Macaca mulatta: one gene and its partner. The protein of the gene in region 2 purifies or fractionates together with the protein of the main gene of each other region. This does not show direct contact. Links are inferred from orthologs where the notes say so. Each region holds a gene or a part of one and is shown on either strand. Other genes may lie near its edges. The genes, in order: SREBF2 and SCAP.

What was found.
Region 1: the proteins of SCAP (region 2) and SREBF2 purify together in Homo sapiens (affinity purification with western blotting; 3 studies listed by BioGRID and IntAct, with this or other methods). This does not show direct contact. The link is inferred for Macaca mulatta from reciprocal best matches to the Homo sapiens genes SCAP and SREBF2.

The regions. Positions count from the first base shown.
Region 1 is NC_133415.1:9,629,304-9,633,113, forward strand, and holds part of SREBF2 (sterol regulatory element-binding protein 2), read right to left. Parts: intron 1,411-3,810; coding exon 1,189-1,410; intron 1-1,188.
Region 2 is NC_133407.1:110,776,386-110,780,195, forward strand, and holds part of SCAP (sterol regulatory element-binding protein cleavage-activating protein), read right to left. Parts: intron 3,802-3,810; coding exon 3,703-3,801; intron 3,545-3,702; coding exon 3,326-3,544; intron 2,478-3,325; coding exon 2,101-2,477; intron 1,614-2,100; coding exon 1,425-1,613; intron 1,293-1,424; coding exon 1,091-1,292; intron 1,020-1,090; coding exon 904-1,019; intron 666-903; coding exon 143-665; intron 46-142; coding exon 1-45. UniProt on the Homo sapiens protein: Escort protein required for cholesterol as well as lipid homeostasis.

The DNA of each region.
Region 1 (3,810 bases), on a different chromosome or scaffold from region 2:
GCTGTGCCACTCGGGAGAAGTTACTCCATACCTCTGAACCTCACTTTCCACCTCATTAACACAGAGATAATGAGAGTCCGTGAATCACAGGCTTGCAGCCTGGCTAAATCAGATAATGAGTGTAAAGAGCTTAGCCCCGAGCCTGGCAAACAGTTGACACTCAATAAATATTAGCTATTGTTCCTACTTCTTACAATAATCCTAGCATAAAAACAAACTTTAAGGAAAACAAATGACAAAACACCACAGCATTGTTGGACAGCTATCTTTTTTTTTTTTTTTTTTTTTCCCAAGACAGAGTTTCACTCTTGTTGCCCAGGCTGGAGTACAATGGCACCATCTCGGCTCACTGCAACCTCCGCCTCCCAGGTTCAAGCAATTCTCCTGCCTCAGCCTCCTGAGTAGCTGGGATTACAGGCGCCTGCCACCACACCTGGCTAATTGTTTGTATTTTTAGTAGAGATGGGGTTTCACCATGTTGACCAGGCTGGTCTTGAACCCCTGCCCTCGTGATCCACCCGCCTCAGCTTCCCAAAGTGCTGCGATTACAGGCGTGAGCCACAGCACCTGGCCTGGACAGTTATCTTAAGGCATAGATTTTTACTTAGGATGCATACTTTTCAGATTTGTAGGCAACAAGGAAAATAATGAAATTTTCTTTCAAAATAGGGTTTAAACATAGATAGGTTTTAAAAATAAAATCTCCTACTTTCCAGAAGACACATTCAGTGAAAACACCAGAAACATTTGGAAAATCAATTTCCTCTATTTGTTGCTGGTCAAAGACTCAACCTCTTTTTTCTTTCTTTTCCCTAAAAGGTAACCCCTAAACACAGCTAAAACGATGCCATCAGCTGACTCCAAGGCACACACAGTCCTGTATCTGGAACTACTGAGTGGCAGGCATCTTTCTCTGCCTCTGACAGTGGAGTCCCCCATCACTGCAGAGCACAGCCGAAGGAGTCAAAGGTCTCAGTGGGTCACTGCCTCATCAACCCTCACCAGTACCCTTCTGGTTTTTAATATTTTATAATCTTGACACAATACCAAGATGCTTTAATAAAAAAGTACCTCTAACTTGGTCTTGTATTCACTTACCTTGAGTCTGGGACTTCTCTAAGCTCCTGAAGCAAAAACAGGTAGAGGGGACATGGTGGAACATAAAACACGATTTTGCTTGGCACCCACCTTGGCGTCTGTCCCCATGACCAGGTCTTTCAATTCGATGATTTTGTCATTGATGGAGGAGCGATATCGTTTCTCAATGATATTGTGGGTTGTCCGCCTTTCTCCTTCTTTGGGGGGCTCAAGCTGCTTGACTCCCCCAGGTACCTGCTTAATGGGCACTTTCTCTTGCCCCATCATTACAGGCATTGTGGTCAGAATGGTCCCACTGCTGCCCACCAGGGTCTAGAATAGGCACAGGTACAGAGCAGAATGAACCCTTTGTTAGTCTGCATAAAGCAACCTCAACACAGACCTGCCTACCCTGGCCAAGTGTTGCCAGACCTGGCAGTACTTCATGAGGTCTAAGACTCTTCCTGAGTTAATCAAATCAGGCCCCAAGACGCCTCAGGAGCCACGGCACCTCGGTTACTACCTACCTTCAGAATCAACACTGATAAACTACACAAGAGGATTAACATGGCTAAATATGTTTTAAGTTTTGATCTAGGTATGCCAGAAACAAGTCATGATTTCTGCTGTGCTGTCAAACTGTTAACCACTTCTAAACTTCTACACGGTGAACCACGAGTTGGTACCGGAGAAAACTTCCTCCTAGTGTATGACACATTTTTTCCTCTCAAATGACAATTAAGCAAATTACTGCATTTCTTTATACAATTTCGCCATCAAAAAGCTTAAGGGCAGAAGTGACACTCTCAATCAGGGCCATTCGATTAAGTAAATAGGCCAACCATGGAGGTCCCCTCTTTTTATTCTTCATCTCTGTTTTCTCCTCTTATTTTTTCTAACTTTATTTTCTTTCCTTTTTTTTTTGAGACGGAGTTTTGCTCTCGTTGCCCAGGCTGGAGTGCAATGGTGTGATCTCGGCTCACCGCAAACTCCGCCTCCCGGGGTTCAAGTGATTCTGCTGCCTCAGCCTCCGGAGTAGCTGGGATTACAGGAATGCGCCACCACGCCTGGCTAATTTTGTATTTTTAGTAGAGACAGGGTTTCTCCATGTTGGTCAGGCTGGTCTAGAACTCCTGACCTCAGGTGATCTGCCCGCCTCAGTCTCCCAAAGTGCTGGGATTATAGGCATGAGATACCACGCCCAGCTCTTTTTTTTTTTTTTTTTTTTTTTTTTGAGACAGAGTCTCAGTCCGTTGCCCCAAGCTGGAGTGCAGTGATGTGATCACAGCTCACTACAACCTCCACCCCCCGGGTTCAAGTGATTCTCCTGCCTCAGCCTCCTGAGTAGCTGAAATTACAGGCATCTGCTACCACGCCTGGCTCGTTTTCGCATTTTCATTAGAGATGGAGTTTCATCATGTTGACCAGGCTGGTCTCGAACCACTGACCTCAGGTGATCTGCCTGCCTCAGCCTCCCAAAGTGCTGGCATTACAGGCATGAGCCACTGGGTCCGGACCAATTTTAGTTTATTTTCTTGAATGATGGCCTCAATATCTAATCGGCCAATAAATAAATAAAAAGGTGCCCAATTTCATTAGTTGCCAATAAGTACATCATGCACAATAAATACCACACATCTTAAGTTTATAGCTTGATGAATTTTACATATGTACACAATGTATATAACCACCCAGACCAAGATATAGCCCATTTCTACCAGCTCAGCTCAGAAGGTTCCTGCATGCCCCTCCCCTCCTTGGCACCACTGCTCTGACTTCTAGCACCATAGCTTCATTTTGTCTCTTTTTGAACTTTATATAAATGGAATCATTAGCATGAACTCTTTTGTGATGGGCTCGTTTGGCTTGACACACTATTTCTGAGGGACAGCCCCATGTTGTTTCATGCATCAGTAGCTTTTTTTTTTTTGAGAGTCAGTCTCGTTCTGTCATCCAGGCTGGAGTGCAGTGGTGCGATCTCGGTTCTCTGCAACCTCTACCTCTCAGGTTCAAGCAATTCTCCTGCCTCAGCCTCCTGAGTAGCTGGGATTACAGGCACGTGCCACCATACCCGGCTAATTTTTATATTTTTAGTAGAGATGGAGTTTCACCATGTTGGCCAGGCTGGTCTCAAACTCCCAAAGTGCTGAGATTACAGGCGTGAGCCACCGTGCCTGTCAGCCGTTCTTTTTTTTTAATTGCTAGGCATAATTTCGTTGTATGAATATATCACAATGTGCTTATTCTCCTGTGGATGGACATTTGAGTTGCTTTCAGTTCTTGGCTTTTATGAATAAAGCTAGTGCTTCCAAATTTTAATCACCATTTACTCTATCAGATTCTCATGCTATAGGATGCTGAAAGTGGCTAAGAACCTACAACTGAAGGATGGGGTACCTTCCATGTCCCTCACCTTGGAGCCCTTCCCTGCCTGGTGGCCCTAGGGTCCTTAGCAGGACCTAAGAGGTGAATGGTCCTGTGTGGAGCTATTAGCCAAGAATAGAGGGTCCTTCTGCTATTCTTTTCTACTTCCTTGTAGACCCCAGTACTCCCACATCTAACACACCTTGGTAATACTTTCTCGAGCAAAAAAAACGACTAAGAGGAGTGACATTTACAATTTGACCGATTCGTGCTATAGACCCTCCCATACCTACTCAGCATACAGAGATTTAACATCTCTGAAGACTAACACCTCCAGGAATAAAGGGGGAAGGTGGGGGAGAAGGCAGC
Region 2 (3,810 bases):
CTCCTCGCTGCTGCAGCACAGCACCCCTTCAATGGCGTCCCACACCTATTAAGTCCAGAGGCTGTGAGCACCTGCCCACCAGAAAGGCCCACAATCCCCGGGGTGGACAGCCGCTCTGCCCACCTTTAGCCCCTCTGCCCACCTCCAGCCGGCCGCTGCTCCGCCCCACCACGATGAGGTGGCCCTGCAGCTCCAAGCTCCAGATGGAACCCTCCGCACTGGGGGCCCAGGCAAGGGAAGGGGAGCCTTTCTCAGGGGAGCCACCCTCGTCCTCAGGGGCCTGGGGCAGCACCGGCCCAGGCGAGGGTGGGCGCAGGGCTGGTGTGCAGACGGCCGCCAGCCCCTCCTCCTGGTACACGCGCTGCACCAGGCGGCTGAAGTCATAGCCTAGGGAGTCCCGAGCGCGGCCACAGACCGCCCGGTGCCGGGGCTCAGGCTGAGTGGGCTGTGAGGGCTGTGGCTGCGCCGAAAAGTTGGTGTCAATTAAGCAGGTGAGGTCAGGCTGGTCCCCGAAGAGGGAAGGCGGTGGAGGGTCCCGGGGGCGGTGTCTCAGGGGAGGGCTGTCCCCAGGCTCCTCTGGGCCAGCCTTCCCACCATCTGAAAGTCGTTCCCAGCTCTCCTGAGCCTCAAGCCCGCTGCCCACGCCACTGTCCCGGCGCTGCCTGCTGGGGGCCAGGATGGTGGAGTGAGAGGGGGTGTGGGGGAGGGGGAAAGGGTGAGAGGGGGAAGTGAGGGGCCATTAGAGGGGACAAGCGGAGAGGGTGCGGTGTGGGGGTGGGAGGGAGCCTGGAGGGGTTGGGGGATACGTCAGAGGGAGAAAGGAGGAGAGAGACATGGCTGCACGGGGTAGGTGGTGGGGTGAGGGGGGTGGGGGGTCACAGAGGAGAGGGCAGCCGCACCTACCCTGGGCGCGGGATACGCGTGAGGCAATCCCCGGTCTGTGCGTCCCACACACAGACGTGGCCTGCCAGGCAACAGCTCACCAGCAGCATGCCGTCGCTGGCCAGGCACTCGATATCCTGCGGGAGCCTGGTGTTGGTGTGGGCCAGGCCCCAGCCCTCCCCTGCCTGGCCGTTGTGCCCCCGCTCACCATGAGGTGGCCGCGCAGGACCAGCGGCACAATCTCCGTCTCAGGTGGCGCATAGCCGTAGTCGTCGCAGGGCAGCTCTCCGCGCCTCCGCCGCCCGGGCCCGCTGCCCGGCTGCCCGTAGTTGCGCGGGCACAGCACGCGGTACAGGCAGAGCAGCAGCAGCACCAACACAATGCCCGCGGCTAGACCCAGTGCCGCCACCCTGCACGGGAAGGCGGACTGCTGTGAGACACACCTCATAGCCTGTCCCCTCCCCTCCTCCCTCTCCCCTACTCTTGCCCACCTGTCCCCCTCCCCGCACTCTATCCCACCCCACCCCACCCAGCAACCTTACTTGTACAGTGTGACGTCTCCATGGGCCTGCACCCCACCTGGGCCCTTGGGTCCCGCTTCCCAGTGCCCAGCAGGTATGGGCCCCGGTGGGGGCCAGGCACTGCGGCCATCCTGAGGGTGCCGGCCCTCCAGGGCCTCCCTCGGGTTCAGGCGGAGTGTGACTGGGATGACAGGCAGCAGGCTGATGTACCTGGATCCGGACAGTGGGCAGCCTCAGCGGGGGACCCCCTCCCAAGGCTTCCTCCTACTGTGCCTGCCAGCCAGTCCGCTCCCTCCTCCCCAGGCACGCCTCAGCTCCACCGGCCAGACTCTCCCAGCATGGGGGTTGGGGACAGAGGTAGGTCCCTCCCCAGCCCAGCCTAGCAGCCAACCTTGCTGTCCCAGATACCAGCACCCAAGCAGCCCTTCTGACCGTGTGGGGTATCTCCCTCCCCACTCCTGGCACAGGTGGGTGGGTCTCATTCTAGCAAGGGCTGGCAGCCACCTGTGACTCCTCAGAGGAACCTGGGGTTGCTCTTGGGTTATGGCTGCCTAGACCACCAGTTCCCACCTCACAACCTTATGAATTGTTTTAATTATTTGCAGAATTCAAACTGTGGGCCTACTACATTGGGGAAAGGGGATGATGAGTTGACACCATCGAGTGAGGAGGTGGCACCTGGCATGGCCCAGCTCACCTCTTGGCCAGCGTGATGTTGTAATAGCTGAAGAGCGTCGGCCAGTGGCGGAAGGACAATTTCCTCCAAAGTTCCTCATCCTCAGGCCCCCAGGTTACCTCTGGGACTGGGCTGTCATGGACAATCTCTGCTGGACCTCCATGCTCAGGTGGCTCGCCTGGCGATGTCTGGTTCTCAGGTAGCTTAGGGGCATCAGGTGGGAAGATGGAGAAGGCAGGGTCCGGGTGGCTGGCGGGCAGCATGCCACTAGGCACGGGCATGGGAGCCAGGGCTCCCTCACCCAGCGGGCTCTGTTCCGTCACCTGGGCAGCGAGGTAGGTGCGCAGCCCTGCTGGGTCTGTGTATACCAGGATGCCAATCCAGACAACGGTGCCAGCCTGCAGTGGAGCAGGGTACTCAGTGGGAGGAATGGGCCTCAACCCCAGCAGCTTCAGCCCTCATGCTGAGAGGAAAGCAGCACGGGGACCTGAGGCCTAGGGATGGAGAGAGGACACAGGCCCCACTGTGTGCTTTCCTCCTGCCTCTCCGAGTCCTCCTGCTAACACCTGCCAGCACTTGCTGCTGGAGGGCCTGCTTCCCTTTCCACAGTTAGGGGCTGAGTTTCTTGGCCTGGAAATAGACTGAACCACCCTGAGGTTTGACACAGAATGTCCCGGTCCCTAATCTCCACCTCAGCTGGGATCAGAAAGCTGCTACCATTCATATGGTCAGCATGGCCAGAGGGCCAGCTGCCTGACCTGCTCCAGAGTCCCCCAGAGGGCCTAGTCTCAGGGAGCCTCAGCCTTCCTCCCGTCTCAGTTCAGCTCCCTGGGAGAGGCACTGCTGCCCCGCAGCCAGCGCAGCCTGGCTGGTGACTGATTTTGCCCAGCACTTTCCACTGTCTGCACACCATGCAGCGGCCGATGAAATGTGGCCCAGGGAAATGTGGCCACAGGTGGGTCCATCCCAGAGCACTCGACTAACAGGCTCCTGTCCTGGGCCACTCTCGGGAGAGGATGGCTCCTGTACCTGAGAGCCCTGGAGCTGCTTCTCCCACAGGCTTGTCTCCTCAGAAGCCACCAGGGTCTGGGCAGGGAGGACACAACAGGCAGCTCCCCAGAGCCAGGTTTCCAGGGGCCACCAGAGCCTGAGGAGCATCCCTCGCCACTCTAAGGACAAGTGCAGCACCACAAGAGGCCTGGAGCGCTGGCCCTCCAGAAGAGGGCAGGGCAGGGGTGGCAGGTACCATGATGAGACGCTGTGCCAGGCGGGTGCGGGCCAGGAAGTAGACAACACGCAGCCTCTTGGGGAGCCGCAGGTTTCGGAAGGAAGACGGCTGCAACGTGATGGTGTGGGGTGTGGACGGCCGCACAGCCAGCTGCCGCTCGTAGCGCGTTGGCTGCCCCACTGGCTTGGCTGAGGGTAGGCAGGCCTCAGGGGGCAGCCGCTTGTTCAGGTCCGCTAGCTGTTGGGGGCACAGTGGTCAGGGCCCGAGTCCACCATCCAGAGGGCGCCCGCACAGGACCACTGCCCTGCCCAAGGTCCACACCCTTCTCACCCAGGACTCCCTCAGTACAGCCAGGGCTGAGGAGGTGGGCGGGGCAAGGCTCAGCCCACTCCTACCTCCATCCGGCGAATGTCAATGGACAGGACAGTGGTGAAAAACAGCATCTGAAGGAAGAAGTCAGACACCAGCCCCACGACAGCAAAGAGACAGAACTCCTGGAATCA